2 linked regions of the Neodiprion lecontei genome follow. The main gene of each other region encodes a partner of the protein of the gene in region 2 in a complex. Links are inferred from orthologs where the notes say so. Each region holds a gene or a part of one and is shown on either strand. Other genes may lie near its edges. The genes, in order: FACT complex subunit Ssrp1 and FACT complex subunit spt16.

Evidence for each region.
Region 1: FACT complex subunit spt16 (region 2) and FACT complex subunit Ssrp1 share a complex: the UniProt entries of both Drosophila melanogaster proteins name them as parts of the FACT complex. The link is inferred for Neodiprion lecontei from reciprocal best matches to the Drosophila melanogaster genes dre4 and Ssrp.

The regions. Positions count from the first base shown.
Region 1 is NC_060264.1:8,687,783-8,695,595, reverse strand, and holds the start of FACT complex subunit Ssrp1, read right to left. Parts: upstream 6,122-7,813; 5' UTR 5,853-6,121; coding exon 5,802-5,852; intron 5,483-5,801; coding exon 5,297-5,482; intron 5,131-5,296; coding exon 4,915-5,130; intron 4,789-4,914; coding exon 4,613-4,788; intron 4,540-4,612; coding exon 4,404-4,539; intron 4,231-4,403; coding exon 4,127-4,230; intron 3,726-4,126; coding exon 3,597-3,725; intron 3,492-3,596; coding exon 3,200-3,491; intron 3,020-3,199; coding exon 2,867-3,019; intron 2,709-2,866; coding exon 2,559-2,708; intron 2,471-2,558; coding exon 2,279-2,470; intron 2,166-2,278; coding exon 1,914-2,165; intron 1,833-1,913; coding exon 1,719-1,832; intron 1,473-1,718; coding exon 1,350-1,472; 3' UTR 1-1,349. Other genes in the region: huntingtin-interacting protein 1, read left to right, coding at 7,211-7,294. UniProt on the Drosophila melanogaster protein: Component of the FACT complex, a general chromatin factor that acts to reorganize nucleosomes. The FACT complex is involved in multiple processes that require DNA as a template such as mRNA elongation, DNA replication and DNA repair.
Region 2 is NC_060262.1:17,193,369-17,198,446, forward strand, and holds the start of FACT complex subunit spt16, read right to left. Parts: upstream 3,222-5,078; 5' UTR 2,870-3,221; coding exon 2,801-2,869; intron 2,719-2,800; coding exon 2,614-2,718; intron 1,949-2,613; coding exon 1,784-1,948; intron 1,356-1,783; coding exon 1,203-1,355; intron 1,118-1,202; coding exon 971-1,117; intron 869-970; coding exon 602-868; intron 521-601; coding exon 185-520; intron 83-184; coding exon 1-82. UniProt on the Drosophila melanogaster protein: Component of the FACT complex, a general chromatin factor that acts to reorganize nucleosomes. The FACT complex is involved in multiple processes that require DNA as a template such as mRNA elongation, DNA replication and DNA repair.

The sequences.
Region 1 (7,813 bases), on a different chromosome or scaffold from region 2:
TCTGTTTAAGAAAAGATAAAGATATAGTAGTAAATACGTCTCAATGCGGTGACCCAAATTATACCGTATCATTTAGGAGCTTGTGGTTTGAAATGGTTTGTTGGCTTGTTTCGATGTCACGTATTAAACAAATAGGCATTTACGAAAACAGAAAAACGATTTCGAAATTTTTAAGTGGAGCCAACCAGAGATGAACAGCGGTAATACTTCTTTCCTTGAGATTTTTTGTCACGGTTTATTGACTGCACCCAGAGTGTAGAATCTTAAAATCAGCCCAATGCTGAGTTCCGCAAATGATGTTATCTCACGGCTGCCCCAGTGATTGTCACAAGCTTTCCTCCAATGGTCGCAATTAATTGAAATGATAAACTCGGTTGGCGGACGATTTTTTCATTCTAAACTTCCTGCCTGTATTCCATTACATCCACTAATAATAATAATTCAACTTTACCATAAAGGTTGCAGACACGATTGATTGATGTTTCATTACTATTCATATTAGGTTAATAGTAGGTAAAAAAAAGTTGGTACAGCAATGTTTAAATTACATAATTGTAGCATATAAGCACAAAATTTTTCTTAAGTAATCCTAGTTTATACATGTAATATGTGGTATACCGTATATTTCCTGACATACTATGGCATGAAAACAACTTTTTTTTGCTCGCAACGCCTGAATTAGCTGCCATTAAGTTCCGTTCATCTGAAAGCGTTTGCAATATTTCGATCGAACATTGTCAAATGCCTATAAAATGAAACAAAGGTTACGTATAACGCGTTATACAGTTAGGCACATAGGTTCGTAAATGGGTCATTGCAATTGCTGAAGGCCCGAAATCATGAAAAAGATTATGATAGCCAGCCTATATCATATCAGTGAGAACAATAAATTATTAAAATAGAGCAATTTAATTTAAAGCATTACGCAAAACACTCATAACAATACCGCACTAGAATTACTTTATGGTCTAGTGGTGTTGAAAGTCATTCAAACAGACCCAATTTCGTGTCTCTTCATCGACGTAAATGTGTATTAATAAAGAAAAATTTGGAATTCCCTTGAACCAAATAAATAATATTGTACCAGTCATAATAATGAAAAAGTACTTATTTATTTTCGACATTTTAACGCCCTAGTAACACAATGTAGTATAATGCTGTTGCAAAGGTAACATAACAGCTACGCAACTTTGGCTGCAGCTAATTACAATAATGTTTTACGGATGAGTATTCCCGTTTCAACACTTAAGTGACACGGACGATCTTCTGCAGGGTAGGATTACAAAACTTGTTATGGAACAGGTACACGGTCTAGAACATTAGTATACTTTACAGTTTGGAATCGATCACTACTCCGATTCTGCGTCACTTGTTGCAGGGGTACTTTCTTCGGGTTCATCGAACTCTTCATCGCTACCTTCAGCGTCTGATAAATCTTTCTTCCCTTTTTTCGTCTTTTTCCCATCGGTTTCCTGAAATTGAAAAGAATGATCAATGCAATAATATTCTCAATGTATTTCGATTTAGTTTTCAATTTGTAAGACACTTTTTTATCTAACATTTTCTTTATTTCCAATTTGTCGGACTTCAGTATTTATAAAAATTCGCACTTTTATAAACTGTTCAAAAATGTCCAAGTTTCAACTTTTCGACCAGTCTCAATACACAAATAAATTTTTGAGTAGCGTAAAATTATAAATAAAAAAAATTGTTCTTACAGCAGGTCTTTTATTTCCTCTCTTTTTCGTTTTCTTCGCCGAATCACTTTCATCCTCAGAGACTTTCTTTTTTTCATCTTCACTTTCATCGGATTTCTTTTTCTTTGATGAACCCTGAAAAAGCATCAGTTTGCTAAATATATGCACATTACCCGACAGCAATTCAATATTTAACAAAACAAATGATCAGTTTACCTTTTTATCTTCGGAATCATCACCGCTACCGCTACTGCTTTCCTCGTCACTGATATATTCTTTGCTCTTGAAAGCGCCACCTGTCATAAGTTTACTAGGAGAGACTTCTTTCTTACTTTCTTTCTTTTGCTTGTCTGATTTTTCTTTACCACTTTCTTTAACCTTCGTGCCCGCGGCACCGCCGCTGGCCTCATAATCTTTCATAGCTACTGCATAATCTTCCTTAGCCTTAGCTGCTTTTTGTTCCCATTCCTGTGTAAAAAAACCGACGATACGAAATGCGTCACATTTGGATAGTGGTGATTATTTCTCTTAACTGATTCTTGCAATAACCGAATATTATAAACTCATAAGTCGGTACTTACAGATTTATCTTTTAGTTCTCGCCACATTTCACCACCTTTCTTTGCGATTTCAGTCACAGCAATTCCAGGATTTTTCGCTTTGATCTCCTCTCGAGTATTATTCAACCATAACATGAAAGCAGTGGACGGTCGCTTGGGCTTATTCTCATCTTTCTCCTTCTTTGGTTTACGTGATTTTCGTGGCTTTTCAGACTGTTAATAAAATCATAAGACAAAGGCATAATTTTATCACCTGAAATGAAGCTTTAAGTTAACGAAACAAATCTATTTTATTACTCACAACAGTCTTAGCAGACTTGTGCTTCTTTTCTTTCTTCTCTTTCTTTTCTTTTTTCTCTTTTTTTCCACTTCCACCTGAAGCATCTGAATCTGCATCGCTGTCAGATGCACTCACGTTGCTATCATATTCCTCAGCAACGTCACTTTCATCCTAGTCAATTCAAAAATACCGAAGTTAAAAAAAAAATTACCAGTATATATGAAGGAATAAAGAAGTAGCTATGTACAGTAATGTGTTAGAGATGCGAGAATTATTGAAGGAGTGACTAATGAATAGAAAGTAAACTTTGATTGATTAAGACGAGTCACCTGGTTAGGATTGAAATCTTCATCGGTTGACTCCTCAGACTCTTGATTATCATCACTTCTCTCTTCTACCTCTGCTTTAATTCTTGCCAAATAAGCATCAGGCTCATCCTCTTGATCGCTGTTGCCAAAGTCGTCGTTGTACTTCGGTTTGTCCTGTAATCCAAGAAAAACGATCTTAGGTTAGTCATAACCGATTCAGAAATATCTCCAACGTAATTTATACAATTTTTTTGGTACAATCAATGTTCAATATTTCGTGTTCAGGAGTAGTAAATACTGATTTGCAGACATAATGTTACGGGAATATTTTATTGTCAGCCATAAATTACTCACAGTTTTGCCCCTGTTCTTCACTCGCAGTTTCTTAGATGTGATAAAGTCAAAGAGTTTGGCATATTCCTCTTTTTCAATGTTGCTAAAGGTGTGAGTAACGCCACTCGTTAATTCGATTTCAAAATCAAATGATCTCGTTGATCCACCGCCACGTGCGAAATTGACCGAAGCAATTTCTTCGAAACGTATGTGAATTGGTGGTTTATGAACGTATATGAAACCTCTTTCCAATGGATACAAGTAACCAGCTGCAGCTTTGAACGAACAACCAACTGCAGGAGTTCCTGAGTGCCTAATTGCAGAAAGAAACGCGATACGTAAATTATACAACTGGAACACTAAAACTATTTTCACTAATCACCCAATAAGTTCGAAGTGTTTGCAAACAGTTTCTCACCCAACAAAGCCACCAGGTCCAGTAAGTTTTCTGACACTTATAGCTTTCATTACTTTGCCAAGAACCTCATAAGTTGGACCAGATAACTCTTTAGTTAATTTGTCGTGATATTTTTGCTCCAACTCTTTCCTGTAAGAAACAATAAAAGTTACTTGATCTATAATAGAGATTTTATTCATTAGTGAATTATTTGAAATATTTATATGTATATTATGAGACTATTTATATAGAAAACAAATGATCCAATTAAAATGCTTATGACGTAATTATTACTGCAGCTTGCATTCTGACAGATTCAATCTAAGAAAATAATAAGTCTTTGGTTTCTGTACAGCAGACTAACGAGTTCGAACGTTATGGTAACAAATCATTGAAAAAAACGAATTTCACTCGAAAAATACCAGTAAACTATGTTTCATTGCGGTCTACAGCATTTCATACAATTCTAAAGTTGTGAAACACCGATTTTCGCGACATATTTATTGTTACATTAACGTTAAGAACTTCAACTTCATCCATACTATACGTACTCTGTGAATGGCAATTCAATAGACGTTTCATCTTCTTGACTGAACAACAGTACCAAATAATGATAACGTGTCTGCCCCTGTTTGATGGGCGGATCTAAACTGACCTGTAAGAAAAAATTCATATACATGTTAAAATTTAATCCAATCTAATGCTTCAGAGTTAGAAAATTAACTTTTTTTTAGGCGACTAAATTAGTTTCATTATCTTCACAAGTAAGAAAATAGTATTTTGCAAATTATATAATCGTGGCAAACAAATCAACTTATTAAAACTTACAACAAAAAACATTTGCCTACTGTCTTTATGAGGCAGTAAGAACAATCTGAGCACAGTAGACATAGGGATCTTGTAGTCGAATGTTTTACCGTGAAGTTGAAAGAAAGACTGGAATATCTTGATGTCGTAACGACCACTGCAAACAAGTAGTAAATTTAATTGGAAAGCTGTTACAAATGGTCGAATCCTTGGATGGTTGGAGAGCTTACCGAGGCGTAAGGCAATGAATTTCTCTGAAGATAGCGATCGCATCTCCACTGACACTGATGACCGACGCTTTGCTCATCACTTGCTGATGGAATCCTTCGACAGGATCTTGTTCGGCACTGTCACTTATAGGAATATGGAACCTCATTTCCATTAGACTTACCGGCGCATCATCGTTCTAGGAAACGTAAGAAAGTACACATTTCTTATCAAAAAACAAGATTGTCAAGGACATCATTAATATAACTCAGTATTATAAAATACACAAATAAATGAATTTCAAGTATATAATCTTAGGCTGTACCTGATGAAACTCTAGAGTAACTTCGTTTTTTCCTGTATTACATTGTGAAACGTAATACAAAGGAATCTCAAATGCAGTGTGATGTCCAACATCAAAGCTTAACACTGAACCATTGAATTTTGCAGTTCCCCAGTTCCAACCCTTCAAACTGAGTTCCTTTTCCAACATATCCTTTTGATAGTTTGAAGTAAAAAATTTGGCTATTTTTTCTTGGTCCTGAATATAAAAATTCACACATTAATCTAGGACATATTCAATCACTGTTAAGAAGATCGCATTAACTCGTTTCAAAATTTTATGACTTTAGTTTTAAGTAAAATTAATGTTGAAAGAGCTTCTTTACAAATTTTTGGGTCATTAACAATTAAACAAGCAATCTCACCCCATCTTTGAAGCCTCGAAATCTATGTAACGTTCCATTTTTTAGGAATATTCGAAGGCCCCAGGTTCCAACAAATTTCTGGTAATTGACCATTTCCATATCAGAACCAGAAATTTGCTCAACCTTTCCTGTTTTCTGATTTTTGAATATCAAATGTTGGTCAGTCAACTTCAACTTTCCTGGAGTCTGTGAACGAACAAGACAATGAAATCATTACCTGCATGTGTGTATTATAATCATTGATAAAGAGAAATTTTCCTGGCAGATAAACTATAAACTAAAAAAAGGTTAAATTAGATAAAAATATGATCCGAGTACTACTTAATTTGGACGTAGATTATAAATTGATAAAAAACGCAGGTTTTTCGTAAATTCTCAAGTTATTTCCAAAAACTAATCAGTTCTAGATTCACAGAGGTGTTTTAACATCTTTGCTAATTGCCTGGGTATAATCAAGACAATTATTCGTAGAGTGTTTACATAAAATTCTTTTAAGGTTACGTACCATGACGCCTTTTACCTCGGCGGTAATATCAGAATACTCGAGGAAATCCATCCCTACACGTTTTAATTTACGTATCTAAATTCTGGTAAAATACACACGTTATAAGGTCAAATACAAACTCTCATCAGGGTTGAAACACTAATTAACATAATTTTACAGCGCACAATTCACTAGTATTAACAAAGGCACAACGCAATTGACGGCAACAACGGCACGCCGTTCTTCAAACGTCGAGACTTTCTAAATCCAAACTCAGCTACTGCCGCTTCTGCCACTGGTTGCTGTCGTTTCCTGCAAGAAATACACGGAAACTACACAGGAATCCTGTAACTACAGAACACGGAGACTACACAAGAAGCACGACTCAAATGGGTGAATTGACAATCCTTGTCACAGTAGTCGTTCACATTAGGTTTATTTTTCGTACCACTAGCGTCGCTAGTGTTCCATATGTATTGTACCTAGGACCACGGTCTTACATACAGGTCTGGCAACTCCGGTGGTGGGGTTTTTTTGTACTCTTATTGAAGCACCGATCGCTTCGCCTAGTGACCACGAGTGTCGCTGCGATAGAGGGATGCAGGCTGTGTGAGAGAGACGGAAACATGTTTAATTGCAGCAACACTCGTGATCACTAGGCGAAACGATCGGTGCTTCAATAAGAGGACACCCTCACCACTGAAATTTTGACCGAGTTGTCAGACCTGTATGTAAGACCGTGCCTAGGACTATATCTGTCCTTTGGTTTGGGCTTCAGCGGCCTCGTTATACCGCGCAGTCAGTCGTCTATCTCTTTTATAAGTCTATGGTCAATACCACAGACATCGGCCCATATGATTGTGGGCTTTCTTACTCTTGGGACATGGATGATCCGGATGATCCCCACCACCCACCGGCCCCCCTTGCGACAACTCTTTTACGATGAGTTGAGCCCCCACCTTCGCGTGAACGGATCTGTTTTTGGAAGGAAGTGTGGATGGGTGGAACGTCCGTTTATACTGTTTTCTATATTGCGTATGCGGTTCTTAGCTGTCATTTTCAATTCGAGAAGTGTTCATTGATAAAAGAAAAGGAGAAAGTAAACAACATCGAGTACATTAAGACTCGCTGGTTAAAATTTTTGCTTCGTACATAGATTGTAACCCGAAGGTAGATTAATAGCTTAGGTTAAAATGGTTATACTTCGTTATTAGGCATTTCCGCATATATTGTATGCACATACGCAACACGTTCGTCGTCTGTGCATATGACCGTATACGTAAAAGTTGGTAAAAGAGTACATTAGTCATAATAAAGAGAACAGGATGTCTCATCGTTCGAACCAAGTATTATGTAGTGTCACTGAAGAATAACCTATTTGTATAGGTAGTAGCTATTTAAACACAACAGGCTCTTTCTTTCACTTGGACATGGCTTCACTGTCATTGCCGCGAGTTCTACAGCAAAGAAAAACTAGCCTCGAATTGGAACGTGAGAACTTTGAAAAATTCCAGGTAAGTGCACTATAATAGTATACCATCTTCTGTTTTTTAATATATGGTTTATACTATCATATCTAAAAATTTTCCTCAACTTATTTGTCTTCTTGTTATGAAATTCTGGAAATTCGATTAATCATGAATCAACATTGCAGTGAAATATTTTTGTGGTTTTTTTCAGTGGTTTCTTCACTCTAAAACTTCCTTATATTAATCATAGGTTAGTGAAATAAGTTAACACGTTCTAAAAACAAAATAACTGATTCAACAGATATAATAACTTGAAACGTGTTGATTCGTTTTTGTTGAAGAAAATTTTTTCTCGACAGTGTAAATATGTGTGACTGTAATAAGCTGCATGATATTGTTGTGTTCTTTTTTTCATGTGTACATAGAGCCTTGGAACTCCTGCATGATATGTAAGAGCGCAGATTGTCACATATTTACGTCATACATTCCAGGGTATTGAAACAATGAATGCACGACTCGACAATACAAATTTTGTTCGCTGTTAGTGCAATGCTATAAATTTTA
Region 2 (5,078 bases):
CCTCCTCTTCATCGTCCTTCAAATATATTCCAATATTCTTTACCTTTTTTTTAGATGGAGTCAAGACAGTAGCTGGTTGGCCCTGAAATATTATACAAATTATCATTCAATATAATAAGTTGGTAAATGTACTTCTGAGAATTCGTATTTAAAGTTTATAACTTTTTGAATATGAGGACCCCACCTCGTTAACCACGACTGTATCTCCTAAAAACAGGGCGTAAATTTTTCCTTCTTTTTCAGTTGCATCAGGGTTTGCAAGGTTGGAAAGACCGATATTAATATTAAAAACCATTCCCTTCTTAGCCAATGAATTCGTTTTAGGAGCCAGTAGCAAAGAGCTCTCCCTAAATTCAATGCCCATAGCAAATCCAAAGTTTTTTGTCAGATGGTCCAATAACTCAGGTCTCTCTGACTTGACGTATTGATGGCCAGTCTCATATACCTCGCTGATTTTTGCACCAGCTATCAATTTTTTCAATATTTCCTCTTCCAATTGAAGAAGAAAGTTATAATTGTCCTGAGAAAAAATGACGGCTTCGATAACAAATAGTAGTACAACATATTTGATACAGAAAATTCGCTGAAGTTTACTCTATACCTCGATACTTTTCGTTGGGTTCACCAGAAGTGTTCGAACTATGTTGGAACAGTAAGACTTGTAGCGAACTCCTAAGGAACAGACGATAACACCAAAGTGAAGTGTATTTTTATCGCTGACAACACTGAACTTTAAAGAGTAGTTGCCTCCGCTTTGAATAATTGCAGGGTAACACATATCAACTTGCGTCAAATCGACTCCAGTAACATATTTTTTGTTTGTTATAGCTGCATCTACTCCTTCAGCCAGTTTGGAATGTTTGACTTTCTGTAAAACACAAGCTTATGAATAAACATAATAATGTTTCATCACGTCGAAGGATTTGTCATTTAGATTCAGGTGTACTTTCGAAAAAAAAAACTCCAGTACCTTATCAGAATCAATTATTTCCATAATTTGGTCTTTCAGGTATTTTGTAAAAACGTCTACCGATACTAGACAAGCTTTTTTTATAGCTAATATTTCCATGTCTTCTTTTGGGCACATTACATAGGCTGCTGCGGCACTGATGTCAACCTAAAAATAGAAAAAAAGTTGACAAATAAAATTACAGAAAAAATTCAAGCATTTAGGTTAAATGAATACAATTAAATTAGCATACTGTTTCAAAGGATTTTGCTTTCAAAGCAGCCCTCCACGAATCCATAAATGGACCCGGGTAATGTTCCTTTGAAAAAACTCCCAGAGTTTTGCCCTTTTTGCTGTTCTTTATTACCTCGATTAGCTTGGCAAAATTAGCTTTATCCTCGTCCGTCTATATAACAAATAATGTAATTTCAGATTAAGAAATTTATTTCAATTTTAAAATGCATTTGAAATAAAATGATCAATAATAACGCACTAAAATATACCAACCAGACCTCAAGGCTTACTGCTAACAATTAAAAATGCGATAAAACATGAAAAATGAAGTCTCTTTACATGCTTTCTACTTTGCACTACTGCTATGTCTTTTGATCTTCATAGTGTAATATTGTTCGATATCTTATTTAAGTGTAACCAGGATATTCTCGAGTAACATTATTTATCAATAGTGAGTTTCATTGTGAGATAGAATTTATTTTGCTTATGGTATTAGATTATGACCATATCTTAAATAAATAATGCTTAGTCTAGATGGTCAGAATCTAACGAGCTAAGTATACTTCAATTCCAAATAAATGCTACAGTTAAATTACTCACCCTATCACGAACAAACAATTTTACTGGAGGGACTCCAGTGTCTTCAGTTTTCTGATTTTCTACACTACGTAAAAATTCAATCTTCTTCTTGCTGGCAAGAAAATTGATCGAGTCTTCAGCTAATATCATAATAGTATCGGTGAGCTCGTAACTAAGTAGCCAAGTCTGAAAAAGTTCCATGCATCTTTAAATATTTTATAGATATGCGGCATGAAGAACTATTGAAAAGATTGATGTTTCAAGATGTGAAAGATCGAAGACATCAAAATTCTACAAGATTGTAGTTTGCATTGTTGATGCAACAAAACATTGAAGAATAAAGAACCATGTTTTGGAACTTTAGAATTACTTCGAAGGAGTTGAGTTTGCAAAATAGAGATTTTTCTCAACATAGTTTTACATTGACATTATAAACTTTGACTTGATAAAATTCTTTTTATCAGTATACGTAGCCGGATGACAAGATTATGAAAATTGCAGTCAATAACAGACCAGCAAACCAGAGACACCTTTCGTGAAATGATACAAATATCATAAGATCGTTAAATAATGGTTACGATTAATGACGAATTCAAACTATCAATAACGTTAAAAATAGGTCTGGCCAAAATTGAACCTTAAATTGACTATACTGTGCTTCCAAATGCCATGAACTCTAGGTTTCGCCAAATTTATTAATTAAGCAAGAATAATACAATGTTTACAACTTGGATTCAATCGTTTGTTTACATTAATTTTTTGTACACTCTGTAAAACAATTTATGATAGTTATACATCTAGAAATATAGAATGGATAATTGATAAATTTAGTTATATGATCAGTATCATACCTGGAGGGCTGTAGACTTGCTGTATACAATATCTTCGTCAATTCCGACCGCCGACACGAGACTATCCATCTTCGCAAAACTATCATCCGTGCCGGATTCACCATCCTGTATAAGAAGTAGACATGTTTATAAAGGCCAATGTATTAAGTAAAAGTTTTCAAAACGAGACTAACATCGTTATACTCACTTTCCACGCTGCGTATAAGCGTTTTATTCGCCGGAAAAATGTGTCTTTATCAAGAGATACGTTTGCCATGGTACAAAGTTTTTAGGTTGATCTTTGTACACAATAAATTATTATGTGAAGGATGACGTACTCCTTCTGAATTAAGGCGAGAATGATAAGACTTGTTGAAACATTCACGGTACACCGTTCAACTTCAACTCATCACGCATACTTGTGTTACCAAGATTCCAAAATTCCGACGGCACGCTCAAACTCCGACTTCCGATGCGGACATGGCGGGATTACAACCAAAGCCTGAGAGTTTGTATATGAAAGAAGGGGCAGCTTGTATCCCTTCCGAATTTCCGGAAATGTGGTTATGGTGGCTTTTACAGGCGTTTTTCACAGCCCTGTAATATCCGACCGGAACAACCACGGGTATGTTCCGATATACACTGCGAGCACTGTTCAGTGGTCTTACTGGGGAGAAATTCGGTCCATTATTGGGAAATCATCCACTCAGATACGCTACCTGACGGATCAAATATAAACTACTCTATGCAGGTCAAGCTTAAACTGCTGATATCAAATATAATATGTGAGAAATGTAGTTTAAAAGTGTTAAACTTTTTTTTAAATATTAAGTAATCAATTATTATCTATAAGCTTAGTTATTACTTAAAAACATCTTAAATTTCAATATTTGATCAAAAAATTTAATCATGGAGTTTCCACCACGAGAAAATAAAAATAAAACTTTCTGCTGCGTGTATGGGTGTAATAGCAAGTCTAGTAAGAACAATACAGTTCGATTTTACACTTTTCCTTCGGCAAATTCTAGTTTTGTAGTAATCAAAAATAAATTTGGTGAAGATGAAGTAATTGATCGTCGATTAGCTTGGATAAAAGCATTGAAAATTGGGAATGAGGTTACACAGTCAAAAAAAGTGTTTTCATTACATTTCGCCAAAAATGATTTCATACCAACATGTAAGTAATTACCTATAGAATTTCATTTCATAATTACTTGTTTATCATCAATATGAAATGATATTTTTTGTAGTGTAATATTTGTCAGAAAAAATAAAAAACAATAAACATTAAATTTTATTTTCCATTGCAGCCAATGTTGCGATATTGCACCCACAACTTCATGCGGTGGATCTTTTAAACGAGAAGTTTGGAGACAGAATGCAATTATTTTATACTCATTATCACAACTAGTATCTGATTGCTGTAGGCCACATTTCATTAGATGTCCCGCATCAAGTATATCTTTACCACCAATAAAATTTTTATGACTAGGCTGAGTATTTGCAAACTCACAAATTTCTTGTATTGAAATTTTCATATTTTATTGAATTTTTTTTGAAAATTCGAGTTTAATAACTGTAAATAAATACACGCTTTCACATAAGAACACGAAAGCTGATTTAAAAATGCGTTTTAGAATAGTTACTGCTTCTGCCGCAAGGAGAAGCCACGCCCCCGGCAGATTTCCCAATAGGCTGACAGTATACAGTTGCAGTATCCTAGGGAAATAAATGACGTCATAAATCGTCGTCATTTTTCTACTCTGAACACTGGTGTTTTCGAGGTAAGGTGCTATCAGTGCTTTGCTCACGTGATCAACAGCGTTCAGAAATTTAACAGCTTCCACTATTGATAATTATTATTATTGAATATTGTCATTTAAAAATACCGGTCGTTAAAAACAAATATGGAAAATTTGAATAAATTGTGTTTATTGCAGTGTGAAACAAATATGATGTATGAAATGAAAGTAACGCCAAAAAATGTCGATCACAGTATACTGTACTGCGTTCCGTTTAAACAGTAACCAGTATAGCTAACTATAAAGGACCGGCTTCGCAGTATACTAAATTGACGTCACACCTTACAGTGCTCGCAGTGTATGTCGGAACATACCCCACATGTATATGTAGCTCAGTTCGTTTTAGTTACACTTTTCTACACTTTTTTTACACTTACCCTGAATTTAGCCAATGGAAGGTGCCCTTTCCTAAGGAAAGTGTAAAAAGTGTAGAAATTGTAACTAAAACGAACAGAGCTATCAGGTTTGTTCGTGCTAGCTACACTCTACACTCGCGAGTGTAAACAGAACTACGGTAGTGTACTAGGGATTGCTGGGGAGGTACGTCGGCTTCTCGAGTGTAGCTAACACCCGTATTCATAGTCCCTCCTTATCTCAAGGATAAAGGACGCCTTGATGAAGGCTTCATTAAATCTCAGCGGCGTCCTCGTTTCATAGTCACAACTTGGCTCTCCTTTCCAGAAG